Linked DNA regions of Yarrowia lipolytica. The protein of the gene in region 1 interacts with the protein of each later gene in a biochemical or structural test. Links are inferred from orthologs where the notes say so. Each region holds a gene or a part of one and is shown in the gene's direction. Other genes may lie near its edges.

Region 1 (3,475 bases):
TGTTCAGCAAGTGAGGATTCTAGCACCCTCACAGTTTCTGCCCTGCCCCCTTGTTGCTCAATGGAACAAGAAGCTCGCTGCTGAACAAAGTACGCCGACCCCCAGAAGGCTCAACAACCTCACTCTGGATGGGACGCTCTGATCTACACTCACTGAGCCTGGCATACTTTAGTTTCTCCAGCTTACCATTTATCCTTGCAGCCGGGTACACTTGCTCTGCCTTGGATCTGGAATTTAGTCCTTTGTGTACCTGTAACTATCCTGCTTCATTGTCGAACCACTCGGGGCGGCCTTGTGGGGCTGATATCTAAGCTTGTCAAGCTCATTGAGCTCAGCCTGAAGCTCCAGAACCCTCTATGACTGCTCCCTGCACTCCTTCTTGACTTCTGCCTCACACGTTCAGCAGGACCCCGAGGAGCATTCTCGTTGTGGGGGAGTGATGGAACGATGAAGACCACCTAGGACAATGCCTATTGCCATAAATTGTCGGTGTGACCTTGTTGGATCCGTCTGAATACCTCACATCATTACCGTATATGTTGGTCCACCCTTTTTGCAGTCACAGGCTGCTTTTCGCCCAGATGACCATACCACCCAGTTGATTTGACTACCACCCAGTGACTACCACCCAGTTGACATTGTCGAAGTTCAGTATCACCAAGTATTATCAGCATTGTAGAATTGGAATATCACAAGGCATTCCAAACGTAGCCCAAGATTTCAACACAGCCTCCGTATCTTCGAGTGAGTCTTGAACTGGATGAGCCCGAACTGAGAGTCTTGTAGTACCCTGGTAAACCAAAAATCCAATGGCATCTCTCCTGTCATTTTATAGATGGACCTGTAACCGTGCTGAACTTCCAAGATTCGGTCCATACACACACAACCAATCCGTTTTGCGAAGGGTTTATCAAGTTGGGCATTGCTGACCACTTCAGAAAAACTCTTGGTCCTGATCATGTAATCGAGGTATGGAAAACTGCAGCCCTTGATATCGTCAAGCGTTTTGCTCATTCTCATAAGGGCTTGGGCGTGATAACCTGTTTTATTGAGGTGTCTTAAAACTTCCTTGTCGCCTGCGGCATTGCGAGCACCAGGAATGTTGATTTAGCAGGCAGCTTCGGGGAACCATTCGTCCATTTCGTGAACCGAGTACGGACGTTTCCGAGAGCGTCTCCTGTCGCTGGGAATGTGTCGTCTGCCAGTAAGATTCTTATATTCTCTCACCCTCTTTCCAGCCCCTCGCGGTTCCGAATCAGTGGTATAGGAAGCCTCGTCGCATGATTCCCCTGTCGCGGATATCGTCTCCGTCGTAGATATGACATTGTGGGAGATGATCTCCTTCAGGGAATCTCAGCGTGAGAAACGTAATTCTCGGTTCAGCGGTGCCTGATCCACCCCATGCATAAAATGTGCACGTCGACGTACAGCTTAATAACGACGACGTAAACCGCGGTTCTCCACGGGCCAGACTCGATTGTAAGCCTCTAAAGGTGGGGATGGGCGGAAATCCGCTTCAAGGAGACTCAGGATACCCCTACTGGCAGCTATGTGATTAGTCAGCTTTTTCTATCCCGTTATTTGACGTTTTTGGATGCCGTCCGAATGCTCTGTTTTGACGCCACCCAATATACTTTGCAACACGAAAACGCACGCGCCACCACTTTCAGTAAATTAGACTTCCTTTCTAGTCAAGACACAACACGTCTTTTTTTTTTTTTGGGGATCTTGCCGCGACATTCGCAAAACACACCCTCAAATGGCCGACGAAGAAATCGAACGAGCGGGCGCCATCCCCATCGAGCGCCTGGCCGTCAACGGAATCACCCAGACGGATATCAACCGCCTGGGCGAGTTTGGACTCTACACAGTGGAGAGTGTGGCGTACACGCCCAAAAAACACCTGCTGACCATCAAGGGCATCAGTGAGGCCAAGGCCGACAAGCTGCTATCAGAGGCGTCCAAACTGGTGCCCTTGGGATTCACCACCGCCTCAGACGTGCACCAGACCCGTTCTGGACTCATCACACTAACCACAGGCTCGTCGCAACTGGATACTCTACTGGGAGGCGGTATCGAGACCGGAGCCATCACAGAGATGTTTGGTGAGTTCCGAACGGGAAAATCGCAGCTGTGCCACACTCTGGCCGTCACCTGTCAGCTTCCCATCGATCAGGGAGGAGGCGAGGGGAAGTGTCTGTACATTGACACAGAGGGCACTTTCCGTCCCGAACGTCTGCACCAGATTGCCCGGCGATACGGACTCAACGGAGACGAGGTGCTGGACAACGTGGCATACGCCCGAGCCCACAACTCGGACCATCAGATGCAGCTGCTGCAAATGGCGGCCAACATGATGACCAAGTCGCGGTTCTCGTGTCTCATTGTCGACTCCATCATGGCGCTCTACCGAACAGATTACGCAGGACGAGGAGAGCTGTCTGCCCGTCAGACCCACGTGGCCAAGTTCATGCGAACCCTGCAACGCCTTGCCGATGAGTTTGGCATCGCAGTGGTGATCACCAACCAGGTGGTTGCCCAGGTGGATGGAGCTGTGTTCAACCCGGACCCCAAGAAGCCCATTGGAGGAAACATTGTGGCTCATGCGTCCACCACCCGGCTCTACTTCAAGAAGGGCCGAGGAGTGCAGCGAATCTGCAAGATCTACGACTCGCCCTGTCTGCCAGAAAGCGAGTGTGTCTTTGCTATTCATGAGGATGGAATCGGAGACCCCAAGGATGAGGAGTAGGCGAGGGAAAGCAATGGTTGCAGTAAATAGTGAGACCCATTTTATTTAATCATTTCGAGACTGTAGCGAGCATCTCGACCACATCATGGTCCCATTTTGATTACCTGAGTCGACGGGAATGGTCTCTGCGAACATCGTGCTTACAACCAACTCGGTAAGAGTTCATGGAAAGGAAGAAGGGATCTTTGATCTCCAATTATTTGATATTATGGAAAATATTATCTCAACACTGCAAAATTCGTCGCAATAAGGACTACTACATCACACAGCCTAAACTAAACGAGAGTCGACCGCTGAGTCAGCAGATCATAACGCCAGGGTGAAGACAGCCCAGGAACCAGTAGAGAAACAATATATCACGAGAGAAGCAAAAAAGAATGGACGACACCGGAATCGAACCGGGGACCTCGCGCATGCTAAGCGCATGTGATAACCAACTACACCAGACGCCCTCGATGTGTCCCGGGTAGGACACCGGTATTTGATCTCGAATTTGGAGCATCACACCGAAAAAAACGCCGTATTTCGATATGGAACTGGAAGAACAGGTGGACAAGCGAACACGAGGGTCATGTGCTCTTCAGAACAGTTGAATCTGAAACCGATGTGCTGGTATACCATTGTTTATAGGCCTCGAGAAGTTGTAGAGTATTCCCTAGAACAAAAAAAAAATAAAAAAAAAACAAGTAAAAAAAAAAATACAAGTTAAAAAAAACAAGTAAAAAA
Region 2 (5,315 bases), on another chromosome or scaffold:
CAATACCTCTGGAGTGACCACCATCACATCTCCTGGTGGACCTCGTCATTTTGGGATCAATTTTCCGATGTTGTGATAACCAGATGACTGTAAATTTACGGTACAAGGAACGACGGAAAAGATCTGCTTATTCAGATTACGAATCTTTGTTAGCGAGTCTAGGGAAGATGTCGGTATAATGGGGTGCAAGGCGGGGGGTGTTTGTGGTCTATTGTTCTATATTACTGGTACATACACACACTGTGCCGTGTTAGCTCCATCCATCTTGATCATCTCCAGCTGTGTAGGTACGAGTGGCTGGACCCTTATGTTGTGTTAGGATAGCCCAAAATGAAATACAAAGATATCTGATGAGTCGCCTCGGTGAAAACATTTGAATGGTACAGTTCTCTTCTTCCTAAGATCATTATCGGATGAGTAAGTCGTGGGCTCATACAGTATGTAGTGTTCTGATGCCATGGCGACTGTTAGCACACAATATACTATAGCCAATTACTGGAGAGCTCCGGTGTACTCATTTAATCCCCCGGAGCTACTACAAGTACGCGCCGCAATTGATCGTTAATATATACATGAATTGGTTATGTCTTCTCTATTTCTTGGCAAATTCGAGAAGAACGGCATCGACATCCTTGGACTCTCGCTGCTGGATCTTGAGCTTGAGCAGGTTGGGCTTGGGACAACTGGTGGATCGGGCATCCTCACCCTTGGACATGTAAAACTTGGCACAGCACTCGTACAGTTCGTCAATCAGCTTGGTGCACTTGCTCTCGTTGTAGCCCGATCGCTGCAGGCAGTCTGTGTTAGTGGTTGAAGTTGAGCTGGGGTACGGAGAACATCAATCTCAAAAAAGGAGAGCCATTGGAATTCTTGCCTGTTGTCTAAAATGACATTAACAGAGTCAGATCAAGGGCTCGATGGTAGTTTTGTAGAATGAACGGTTTCAATGAGGGATTTGATCGGCGTTTGACCCATATCCAAGCTTATCAAAGGTCCGATCAGCAGAAGCTCGTGAAATAACAGTCACTCTTCGCAGTAATCCAGTCGCTTACTTGGAGTGACCTACTCGGCTAGCCTCCTACTAGTAGGTGTAGGCTGCCTTCAATTCCTCTAGCCACACCCTCTGAGAGTCAAGCCCATTCCCATGTATTTACTCACCCTGGATCCGACAGGCATAGGCGTGGCAAGGCTGCGAGTTGTAGTCGATTTCTTCTTCAGCCATTGTGTTTATCGTATGTGTTGTGCTGTGTTGCTGTGTGGAGATAGTAGAGTGGGTTATGCATGTTGAGCTTGATTTCCCTTCTTGTAAGAGATGAAGTGGAAAGCAGTAATTGTGCTTCACTGTTCATAAATCTGGAAAAAGGTAATGTAATTCAAATAATCTAGTCTTACACTACAGATTAAGAGAAAAATCACCTCAATCAGACAACTTTTGCCGTAATTAGAATGACGCGCAAAGTTCCACCATCGTCCTTCATCGAACATTAAGTTGAAGCAGTACAAGTAGGAAAGACTATCTACAATCCACAGTACCTACTAGACACTGGACATGGTACTTGTATCACAGAAATACAATCTACATATATCATTCTGCTCCCCTTTATTTCTTGATACAAATACCGACTTTTAATATATCCGTGGTACCAATTACTGGTACCAATCACACCCCTTGACGCATCTTGTTGACCTATTTCTCTCTCCTACTTTTGTTAGACAGCTCTCATTGCAGAAAAGATGGTATCGTGACACTCCCCTACTAGCTCAATCAAACTATGGTATAGATCCGACCTTCTGTCACATATTATCTCCTCCTTTTGCCTCCATCTATCTTCTCTCCTCTCCTACATCCTCCAAAGCACGTCAACTCTAATTAGAACACGACTTTTCTCATTTCACGACGCGTCTACGCCTGTTCAAAAACATGTATCGACGCCCTGCGAAGCGCCGGGTGCCCAATCCCGATGTTCTTTTGGCGCCTTTCAAGCCGCTGACGCAAAATCTGCCTCCAAAAACCGACCCCAAACCCTCAATATCAGAATCGTCCGACTCGGAGTGTGCCAGTGACGATGATGAACAGGAAAAGCTGCGGGTCAAACGACGAAAGCTGAAGGAGCAACAGGAGGAGGAAGAGCGCCAGAAACAGGAAGCTGAAAAGAAACGACAGGCCGAACTCCGGGAGCAAAACCGACGCATTTCAAAGGAAGAAGCGGCCCAGATGCTCAAGGCCGTGGCAGAACCAAAACGTGCCAGACAAGCGGATCTGGGTGTGCTGAGGTCTGCCGAGGAGATTGAACAGGAGCTCCAGATCCGGGAGCGCAAGGAACGCGTGGAGTCCGAGAGAATCAGCGCCAGAAACCTCTCGTTCAATGCTCTGTATCGAAAGAAGCTGGGGCACAAAAAGAAGCATAAGACATGGGATGGAGATGGAATCGTGGTCGTTAAGGGAGAAACACTGTCGCTCTACACCCCTGAAGGTAAGGGGATCGTTCGGGGTTTCAAATTGCAGCCCCAGGTAGTCGTTGAAGAGGGTCAGGTGCTGAAGGTGGGTCCTCTAGAGATCGAACTTGAAAGTACCGTGGTGGAGGCCCAAAGAGGAGTGCTAGGCATGGTGGAGGATATTGAGTCACGTACAGCAGTTGAGAAAGGTCGTTCTGCTTCCGCATTACGTGAGTCTCCTGTTCCAACAAATGATACTCCAGAGCCATTGTCAGTTGAAGCAACTTCAGCGGTTGTGACGGAAACATACACGCTTCCTGCTCCCACGACTTTCAAGGCAGTGAAACGTCTACGTGTTAAACTACCACAGAAGATCACAGAGGAAAACTTTGCGACATTCATTCAGGATGTCAAAATTGACCCTCTGTTGAACACTGCCCTTCGGCCTCATCAGCGCGAAGCAGTCGACTTTTTGTACCGTTGTGTGATGGGTTTCAACCCCACATCAGGCTATGGAGCTCTCTTGGCCGACGAAATGGGTATGGGTAAAACACTGATGTCGATTGCTTTAATTTGGACGCTATTGAAGCAGACTCCGCTCAAAGGGGAACCTCCTCTAGCTAAACGAGTGCTGATTGTCTGTCCTGTGACTCTAGTGAACAACTGGAAGACTGAAATCAAGAAATGGTTGGGCCCTTCACGACTAGGTGTTATGGCCATTACTGACAGTATGAGCATTGATCTGGGAACGGTGATTCGAGATTTCACCTATGGACGGGTAAACCAGGTGATGATTATCGGCTACGAACGTCTCCTGCGAATTTCTGATCAGTTGCAGTCTGCCAACTTTGATCTGGTCATCTGTGACGAAGGTCATCGAATGAAAACTGCCGGAAACAAAGCCGCTAATGCCATCCAGAGTCTGGGGGTCGCCCGAAAGATCATTCTCAGTGGTACTCCGATCCAGAACGATCTCAAGGAGTTCTTTGTCATGGTTGATTTCCTCAATCCCGGTCTACTGGGCTCTTTCCAGCAGTTCAACAAAGACTACATAATTCCCATTGTGCGGTCTCGTGCACCCGATGCATTCCCCAGTGAGCTCGAAAAGGGTCAAAAACAGTCTGCTCGATTGTCGTCAATCACTGGCCAGTTCATTTTACGTCGAACTGCTGACATTTTGTCTCGCTTCTTGCCCCCCAAGACTGAGACTGTTCTCTTCTGTCTCCCCAACGCCCAGCAAACGGAAATATACACCAAGCTGTCTTCCGAGTATCTGAATCGACTCGAACGCCACCAAGTTGACTCGTTCAAGTCGATACTGTCACTCAGAAAAGTGTGTAACTCGCCCATTCTTTTGTCTGAGGATGGACCAGCCCTAGACTCGGGAAAGGCATATTTGCGTAACTCTGGTAAGATGAACACGCTGTTTCGCATGATTGGTCAACTGCGAGCACGTAACAAGATGGATCCTGACAACGCAGAGAAGGTTGTCATTGTATCGTCCTTTACGCAAACTCTGGATGTTATTGAGGGGCTGGTAAAGGACCTTAAGCTGTCATTCACTCGTCTGGATGGATCCGTACAAGCTTCTGCACGTGCCAAGATTGTCAAACAATTCAATTCTTCTTCCGCAGATAGCTGTTTTGTGTTTCTCTTGTCGGCGCGAGCTGGAGGAGTGGGTATCAATCTGATTGGTGCGTCTCGATTGTTCCTGTTTGACCCGGATTGGAATCCTGCTGTCGACTTACAAGCCATGGCTCGTATCCATCGAGATGGCCAGAAGAAGCCCGTGTATATCTACCGTCTCCTTACTACTGGATGCATTGACGAGAAGATTTTCCAGCGACAAACTATCAAGACCGGTCTGGCCAACTCCCTGATTGAAGGCACAGAAGAGGCTGATACGTTCACGGATGAGGAGCTCAAGAAACTCTTCTCTATGGACGTGCTGACCCATTGTAATACGCATGACTTAATGGAGTGCAAGTGTGAACACAATGGAGGTGATCTGGGAGAGGTGGTTGAGGAAGTGCAAGTGACCAAGGCCACAGCTTCAGATTCGTTCACTACGGCTCGTGAACTGGAGAAGAACCAAGACAAACAACAGAGGAGTCTCAAGAGTTTGCTGGAATACAAGCATATCAGTCCAGATGTTGTTCGTGAGCAATGGGACAGTCTGTCTGAGATTGGAGATGTGTTGCTGGAGAAGATTGTGGGAGAGAAGAATGATTTGGTTAGTTATATTCTGACCAAGACTTCAGTTCAAGCGTTAGACGAGGTTGATACGGTGGACGTTGTGGAGGAATGATAGAGAAAATGGTACGGGATTGCATAGCATAGCGATAGATGGAATGCATTGGAACTTACTTAATGGCACGACACTACTTGTAATTTGTATTTCATTTCAGGCAAATTTCACATAAACGGGTGTTGGTTCTTGCTGCTGGTTCACATTTCCTGGATGCCGAGTGTTGGTGACGATGGGAGCCAAGCGCCTTCTAGTAGGGCTACTCGTACTTACCGAAGTAGTCTCTACAAAACACTATGGTAAGATGGTGTTGTACAGAGCAGTTGTAACGGGTGAAGATTGGTTTACGGCTATCTGTGGCCCAGCAACACATCAGTTTTAGTCTCTCTAACCAAACAATATTATCCATTGTAACAGTTCAATAAGACACCGGAGCTTGCCAATTCAGTCTTGTCTGAACCACTACTGTACGAGTATTCGTATCATACTCCAGGAGTGCACTCTGTACTTGAGGCTCACAAGCACTGTATGATGCGCTATCGTACATGCCGTTCGAGACTGTATATCACGTTATTGGTGTGTTTGAGAGCGAAAAACCAGATTTCCATCATTTCCCATCACTTTCCATCAC

The links.
Region 2: the proteins of YALI1_F20820g (region 1) and YALI1_E29085g form a complex in vitro, tested with the Saccharomyces cerevisiae proteins (2 studies listed by BioGRID). The link is inferred for Yarrowia lipolytica from reciprocal best matches to the Saccharomyces cerevisiae genes RAD51 and RDH54.

Annotation. Positions count from the first base shown.
Region 1 is NC_090775.1:2,080,347-2,083,821, reverse strand, and holds YALI1_F20820g (uncharacterized protein), read left to right. Parts: upstream 1-1,759; coding exon 1,760-2,749; downstream 2,750-3,475. Other genes in the region: YALI1_F20831g (uncharacterized protein), read right to left, coding at 400-510, 564-674. UniProt on the Saccharomyces cerevisiae protein: Required both for recombination and for the repair of DNA damage caused by X-rays. Its function may be modulated by interaction with other repair proteins. RAD52 interacts directly with RAD51, via its C-terminus.
Region 2 is NC_090774.1:2,906,616-2,911,930, forward strand, and holds YALI1_E29085g (uncharacterized protein), read left to right. Parts: upstream 1-1,921; coding exon 1,922-4,744; downstream 4,745-5,315. Other genes in the region: YALI1_E29065g (uncharacterized protein), read left to right, coding at 1-72, 122-319; YALI1_E29074g (uncharacterized protein), read right to left, coding at 593-798, 1,159-1,222; YALI1_E29115g (uncharacterized protein), read left to right, coding at 4,917-5,059, 5,102-5,216. UniProt on the Saccharomyces cerevisiae protein: Involved in the recombinational repair of double-strand breaks (DSB) in DNA during mitosis and meiosis. Has DNA dependent ATPase activity. Promotes D-loop (displacement loop) formation with RAD51 recombinase.